Anolis sagrei: one gene and its partner. The protein of the gene in region 1 interacts with the protein of each later gene in a pairwise test. Links are inferred from orthologs where the notes say so. Each region holds a gene or a part of one and is shown in the gene's direction. Other genes may lie near its edges. The genes, in order: COIL and PDLIM5.

The links.
Region 2: the proteins of COIL (region 1) and PDLIM5 interact in binary tests that used the Homo sapiens proteins (3 or more experiments, as listed by UniProt). The two-hybrid records come from large-scale screens. The link is inferred for Anolis sagrei from reciprocal best matches to the Homo sapiens genes COIL and PDLIM5.

The regions. Positions count from the first base shown.
Region 1 is NC_090022.1:144,152,399-144,156,317, reverse strand, and holds the start of COIL (coilin), read left to right. Parts: upstream 1-1,286; 5' UTR 1,287-1,297; coding exon 1,298-1,548; intron 1,549-3,919. UniProt on the Homo sapiens protein: Component of nuclear coiled bodies, also known as Cajal bodies or CBs, which are involved in the modification and assembly of nucleoplasmic snRNPs.
Region 2 is NC_090025.1:23,614,012-23,617,930, forward strand, and holds the start of PDLIM5 (PDZ and LIM domain protein 5), read left to right. Parts: upstream 1-1,037; 5' UTR 1,038-1,142; intron 1,143-3,919. UniProt on the Homo sapiens protein: May play an important role in the heart development by scaffolding PKC to the Z-disk region. May play a role in the regulation of cardiomyocyte expansion. Isoforms lacking the LIM domains may negatively modulate the scaffolding activity of isoform 1.

The DNA.
Region 1 (3,919 bases):
CACATTATCTGAGTGTGGACTCAGATAACCCAGTTCAAAGCAGATATTGTGGGATTTTCTGCCTTGATATTCTGGAATACAGGGCTGTGTGGAAGGGGCCCAAATGCTGTTGGCTGTAGTTTAGAGAGGGAACTAGCAAATCCACTTCTGAAGCACCATCAACACTGCCATATAAAATCCAGATTAGCTGTGGAATTATGTTAGTCTATGTTGGGCCAGAGGTTTAGCACAGCTGGTAAATCATCAGCAGTTATAAGATCTATCAACCAAAAGGTTGCAAGTTTGAAGCCCTGGGTTGGAGTGAGCTGCCAACTGTCAGCCTAGCTCATTGTTTACCTAAGCAATTCAATTTAGGTACCACTAAATAGGATGGCTCTTCATCATATGAGGGTAGAGCAACAGATCCCCCTGGACTCCAGCCCAACCTTCCATGGCACCTCCTTCTGTTCTGTGTATCATCTATACAAAGTGGCATTGAATGTTTGCCGTGTATGTGTACTGTGATCCACCCTGAGTCCCCTTCGGGGTGAGAAGGGTGGAATATAAGTAAAGTGTTGTTGTTGTTGTTGTTGTTATTAGTCTACACTGCCATATAATCCAGTTCATTGTGGCATTTTAAATGGCAATGTAGATGGGGCCTGAGGGCCCTTCCAGACTGGCCCTATATACTAGGATCTGATCCCAGGTTTTCAGTTTATCCCAGGGCCCTTCCACACAGCCTTATATCCCAGAATATCAAGGCAGAAAATCCTACAATATTTTTGGAACTGGGTTATCTGAGTCCACAGGCAGATAATGTGGGATTTTCTGACTTGATATTCTGGGATATAGGGCTGTGTGGAAGGGCCCTCAGACTATCTGGCAGTGTGGACACATACAATCCAGTTTAAAGCACAAAATGTGGGATCAGATCCTGGGATTTAAGGCCAGTCTGGAAGCCCACATTATCTGCTTTGAAGTGGGATATATGGCAGTGTGGACTCAGATAACCCAGTTCAAAGCAGATATTGTGGGTTATTTGGCTCTGATATTCTGGGTTATATGACTGTGTGGAAGGACTTTGAATCTTCCTTGCCAATGAAAACCTATGACCCATAAAATCGACAAAGGATTTAGAGGCACAACCATATTTCTATTGATATTAATCTTTTTTTCCTCTCCAGTGAAAGGATTGAGCGCCGCTGCCGAAAGAGGGCGCTGGCGGGCAAGAGGCTGGTGTCCCTTCTTCGGTCTCGCGCGCTTTCTCTTCCTTTGACCCTCGCGGCGTGCCGTAGCGAGGGTCCTTTCGCTCCCCAAGATGGCGGCGGCCTGCGAGGCGCCGGTGCGGCTGCGGCTGCTGTTCGACTACCCACCCCCGGGGAGCCCGGCCTGCGGGCTGTGCTGGCTCCTGCTGGAGCCTAGCCAAGTGCGCCTCGTCACCGACCTCATCAGCCTCATCCGGGACAAGTTCGGCTTCAGCCGCCGCGCCAAGCTCAGCCTCTTCCTGGACGGGGCGCTCCTCCCGCCCACCGAGAGCGCGCGCCTCGTGCGGGACAACGACTCCCTCCGGTAGGGACCCGGGCAGCACCCCCCCCCCCCGCCCCAGAAGGGATGCCGCGCCCCGGGAATTGCCTTCCACGTCCAGCGGCCCCAGGAGACCCACGCAGTTCCACAACAACTTGGGAGGCGGGGGGGGGGGGGGTCATGTCATTCCCAATTCAGTGTCTAGATAAGACTTAACACTGGGGTAGAATTAATGCACTTTGACTCCACTGTAGTTGTCCATGGCTGAATGCTATGGAATAATTAAAATTGTAGTTTTACAAGGTCTTTAGTCCACTTTGCCTAAGACGGCTGGTGCCTCGCCAAACTACACATCCCAGGACTCCACAGCATTGAGCCCACGCAGTTTAAGTGGGACCAGACTGCATTCATTCCACAGTGTAAATGCACCCACAGACTGGTCGCCACAAGTGAGAAAGGACTTGAAGGCACACAACTGCAACAACAACAAGAGGCAGGTAAGTTCTTGTGGGTTTTTTCGGGCTATAGGGCCATGTTCTAGAGGCATTTCTCCTGACGTTTCGCCTGCATCTATGGCAAGCATCCTCAGAGGTAGTGAGGTCTGTTGGAAATAGGAAAAGGGTTTATATATCTGTGGAATGACCAGGGTGGGACAAAGGACTTTTGTCAGTTGGGCTAAGTGTGAATATTTCAACTGACCACCTTGATTAGCATACAATGGGCTGACTGTGTATGCTTACCAAGGTGGTCAGTTGAAACATTCACGCCTAGCCCAACTGACAAAAGTCCTTTGTCCCACCCTGGTCATTCCACAGATATATAAACCCTTTTCCCAGTTCCAACAGACCTCACTACCTCTGAGGATGCTTGCCATAGATGCAGGCGAAATGTCAGGAGAAATGCCTCTAGAACATGGCCATATAGCCCGAAAAAACCCACAAGAACTTAGTGATTCCAGCCATGAAAGCCTTCGACAATACAAAGAGGCAGGTAGTTGTGGTGCTCCGCTTACAGATGATGAGGCTCGCTCCTTATTTGTATAACACTGTCAGATACACATTAGGCCAGGCGTCCTCAAACTGAGGCCCGGGGGCCGGATGCGGCCCTCCAAGGTCATTTACCCAGCCCTTACTCAGGGTCAACCTAAGTCTGAAACGACTTGAAAGCACACAATAACAACAACAATCCTATCTCATCAGCCAAAATCAGACCCACACTTTACACTGAAATACTAATAAGTTTATATTAGTTAAAATTGTTCTTAATTTTAATTATTGTATTGGTTTTTTTGTTTGTTTTTTTACAAAATTGCACTATAAATAAGATATGTGCAGTGTGCATAGGAATTCATTCATTTTCTCCCCGAATTATAATCAGGCCCGCCAACAGTTTGAGGGACTGTGACCTGGCCCTTTGTTTAAAAAGTTTGTGGACCCCTGCATTAGGCCTTGCAATAAAACAAGTGAAAGCAACAAGTCCTACAATGTATCTGTGCACAATCATAAGGCCCCTTCAGCTATATAAAATCCACATCGAACTGTATTATCTGGCAGTGTGGATTCAGGACCATTCCACACAGCTGAATAAAATCCCACATTTTCTGCTCTGAAGTGGAATATATAGCAGTGTGGACTCAATCCAGTTCAAAGCAGATATTGTAGGATATCTGCCACAATATTCTGGGTTATATGTGGCAAATTTTGGCCGTCCAGGCGTTTTGGACTTCAACTCCCAGAAACCCCTGCCAGTTTACCATGGGAATTGAAATCCAAATCAGCTGGAGGGCCAAAACTTGCCCATGCTGGTCTAATATATACCTGGAACAACAAATTACAAAACTGTACAATTGCCGAACAAATTACGTGGATAAAATGCCAATAAAAAACAAGACACAATGTGATACGAAGCACACAAAGAATCAAAACAGATAAGACTGCAAAACAACATTAAACTAAACCTCAAAGGTTTGGGCAAATAAAAAATAATCAATTGAGATTTAAAAACTTAGAGGGGAGGAGCTGTTAATGTTGTGTGCCTTCACGTCATTTCTGATTAATTGTGGGCCTATAAAAAGTTTTTATTGCAAGTTTTTTTTCTGAGATTGAAAGAGTGGGAGTTGTCTGAGGTCACCCTTAGGATTTCTAAGGCTAGGTGGGGAATCAAGCTTTGGCCTCACAGAGCTGTAGCCCAATGCTCAAATTACTAAACCACACTGGCTTTCACGGTGGGACAACATCTCCCCTAATTCTGTACCTATATTGGCTAGGACTGATGGGGATTGTAAGCCGATAAGTATGGAGGACCAACAGTTCCCTCCCTTTGTCAACAGTTCCTTGGTATAAAGTCACCAGTAAGCAACTTGGTTTGTTTCCACATAACGAAAAATAACATCATAGCAAAGACATAGTGATAGGCT
Region 2 (3,919 bases), on another chromosome or scaffold:
GAGAGGAGATATGATAGCCGTGTATAAATATGTGAGAGGAAGCCACAGGGAGGAGGGAGCAAGCTTGTTTTCTGCTTCCATGGAGATTAGGACAAGGAACAATGGCTTCAAACTACAAGAGAGGAGATTCCATCTGAACATGAGGAAGAACTTCCTGACTGTGAGAGCCGTTCAGCAGTGGAACTCTCTGCCCCGGAGTGTGGTGGAGGCTCCTTCTTTGGAAGCTTTTAAACAGAGGCTGGATGGCCATCTGTCAGGGGTGATTTGAATGCAATATTCCTGCTTCTTGGCAGGGGGTTGGTCTGGATGGCCCATGAGGTCTCTTCCAACTCTTTGATTCTATGAGAGATGCGGCATCTTCATAACGTGCGATGCTTCTGGACCCAGCTATCGAAAAGGCCTTACTGGTGCATTATTTAAACTGTTATGTTTATTCATATCATGATCTGATCAGCATACTCAATATATCCCATATGCATGGTGGTATTGGGGTAATGATACAAAAGGTTTGCTAGGCTAGACCCTCTTTCACTCAGACTCAGCCCCCCTCCCTGAAACCCCCTCTGAAAAAAACTCAGCCCCCCCCCCCCCCCGAATTGAAATCCTGGCTACGGGTCTGACCGTTATATATTACAATTATCCATTTTTGTTATTTAAACTATAAAAATTGTGAAATTATTGGTTGTTTTTTTTCCTCTGGAAGAGAATGCTTAGTTTTGCTTAGTTTTTTGGCGAACTTTGACACACCAAGCTCAAAAGGTTGCCCATCCCTGCCATAATCAGTTCTAATTCTGTCTGCTCATTTCCTCTTTCTCACTTCCTTAAAGAAAAGCATTTGACAGTTAAAGCGGTATCAAAGTGTTCTCCTATTCTGCAGTGTGGATAGTCTTGCAAGGCAGGGAATGCTTGCTGAGCCTTGGCTTCTTCCAAAGGCGCATCTGGAAGGTTCCCCTCTGTCTCCCCTTCTCTCTCTCTCTCTCTCTTCTCTCTTCCCTCCCCTTCCCTCCCCTTCCCTCCTTGGCTGCCCAGGGGAGGAGCCCAGGCAAAGGGGCGGAAGCGCAAACAAGAGCCCAAGGCCAGTCCCTGTGTGCTTGGAGTTTGCGCTCTGAGGCGCAAAAGGAGCCGCGTCCTGTGCCGAGACGGTAAGCAGGCAAAGCGGGAGGAGGCAGGGAAGGGAGGGAGGAAGGAAGGGGCTTGGCAGGGAAAGAAAGAGGGGCTTCGCGGGCCGTCAAAGCGAACCTCCTTCTGGGCTAAAGGCTGGAGCGGAGGCGGAGAAGGGCTCCCGACAGAAGAAGAGGCGCCTCGGAAACTTTCCTCCGGCGTTTTGCTGTCCTGGGCTGGCAGGTTAAGTAAGAGGCAGAGCGTCTTCCGAGGGGTCATCAAAGCCACAGTCTGGGAGAGCAGCCTGCAAAGATCTGAGGGGGCCTCTGCACTGTAAAACTAATCCAGTTCCAGACCTCCTTAACTGCCGTGGCTCAAGGCAAAGGGGCCGTGGAAGCTATAGTTCTACGCCAGTGTTTCTCAACCTTCCTAATGCCTCAACCCCTTCATACAGTTCCTCCTGCTGTGGTGACCCCCAACCATAAGAATATTTTCATTGCTACTTCATAACTGTCATTTTGCTACTGTTTATGAATCGTAATGTAAATATCTGATATGCAGGATGTATTTTCATTCACTGGGCCAAATTTGGCATAAATACCCAATACCCCAAATTTGAATGCTGGTGGGGTTGGGGTGGGGATTGATTTTGTCACTTGGGAGTTTATTTGCAGGGATTTATAGTTAACTCACACTCAAAAAGCATTCTGAACTCCACCAAGGATGGAATTGAACCAATCTTGGCACACCTTGAATTTTGGAGTTGTAGTTCACCTACATCCAGAGAGCACTGTGGACTCAAACCATGATTGATCTGGACCAAACTTGGCACGAATACTCAATGTGCCCAAATGTGAACACTGGTGGAGTTTGAGGAAAATAAACCTTAACATTTGGGTGGGATGAATACAATCAAAGAGCATGCTGAACCTCACCAACGATTGAATTGGGCCAAACTTCTCACACAGAACCCCCATGACCAACAGAAAATATTTTTTTCTGATGGTCTTTGGTGACACCCTTGTGACCCCCCCCCCCCCCCGGGGTCCCAACCCTCAGGTTGAGATACACTGTTCTACAAGGTCTTTAGCTTCCTCTGCCAAAGAGTGTTTGTGCTACAGCCAGGCATGGGCAAACTTCAGCTCTTCAGGTGTTTTGGACTCCAACTCCCACAATTCATAACACCCAGCAGTTAGAAACTGTGGGAGTTGGAGTTCTAAATACCAGGAGGGCCGAAGTTTGTCCATGCCTGTGCTATGTCTAACTTCAAATCCCCAGGGTTCCGTAGCATTGAGCCAGGGCAACTCAAGTGGTTGTCAAACTGCATTCATTCTACTGTGTAGCATATGCACCACCAGAGAAAGAAATTAATAGCAGAAGTTTTTGGAGAGGAAAGTTAGCGGAAAACTTCTGCTGCAGGTTCAACATCCCTTATCTAAAATGTTTGGGACTGGGAGTGTTTTGAATTTTGGAGTTTTATTTTTGGATATTGGAATGCTTTCGTTGGAGTACGGGATCCAAAGCTAAACACAACATTTATTTATATTTCATATATGCCTAATATACGTAGCCTGCAGGCCATTTTACACACAATATTTTTAAACGCAATTATGCATGAATCAAAGTTTGTTTGCATTGAACCACCAGAAAGCAAAGTTGTTGCTTTCGCAGGCATCACGTGGACAATTGTGGATTTTAGAGTATTTTGGATTTTGGAACTTGAATTGGGCCAAACTTCTCAGACAGGGTTGTTCCGCTTGTATCATCTTCTTTCTCTCAGGGTGCATTTACACCAGGCATGGGTATAGCTGCTTAAGTGGCTGAGGGAGAAAAGGAAGGGTCCTGAGGCTGTTAGGAATTGTGGGAGTTGAAGTCCAAAACATTTGGAGGGCCAAAGTTTGCACATGCCTGATCTACACAGTCAAGTGAATTCAGTTTGACTTCCATGGCTCATTATGCTGGAATCATGGTGCTGTACCATAGTTTTATAAAGTTTTTCAAGGTCTATAGCAGATCCCTCTCCCAACTCCCAGGAGCATATAGCCCTGAGCCATGACAGCTATAGTGATGCCAGACTGCATTCATTCCACAGTGTGGATGCACATTTAGTCTCCAAGGGGTTATAAGACCCCTTTGCATGTAATCAAAGTGTTTGGCTTTTGCTGGCTCTAACCTTTACTTAAGGAGGGGTCGAAAGAAATAACCCTACAGCACTGTGTTCTCATTTTCCACCTTGAGTTAACCCTCTTTTGAGTTCTGTTTGGAATTCATTTCTTCTCTGATTTTATACACACACATCAACACTTCACTTTCTCCTAAAAGCAAGAAAGTCTTTTAAAGAGGAAAGGCACAAACAGTCTCATCCTAGAGCCGACCTGAGTCCCTTCCCTTTCCCTTTTTATTATTTAAGGAACTGAGAAAGAGAAAATAAGTGCAGCTTTGTTTTATTACAGCATTTCTCAACCTGGGGGTCAGGTATTTCAGTATTTTCTGTTAGTCATGGGAGTCCTGTGTGCTAAGTTTGGTTCAGTTCCATCATTGGTGGAGTTCAGAATACTTTTTGATTGTAGGTTGACTTTAAATCCCAGCAACTACAACTCCCAAATGACAACATCAATCCCCCAACCCCAATATGGGCATATTGGGAATTTGTGCCAAATTTGGTCCAGTGAATGAAAATACATCCTGCACAGCAGATATTTCCATTACTATTGATAACAGTAGCAAAATGACAGTTATGAAGTAGCAACTAAAATAATTTTATGGTTGGGAGTCACCATAACATGAGGAACTGTATTAAGGAGTTGTGGTATTAGGA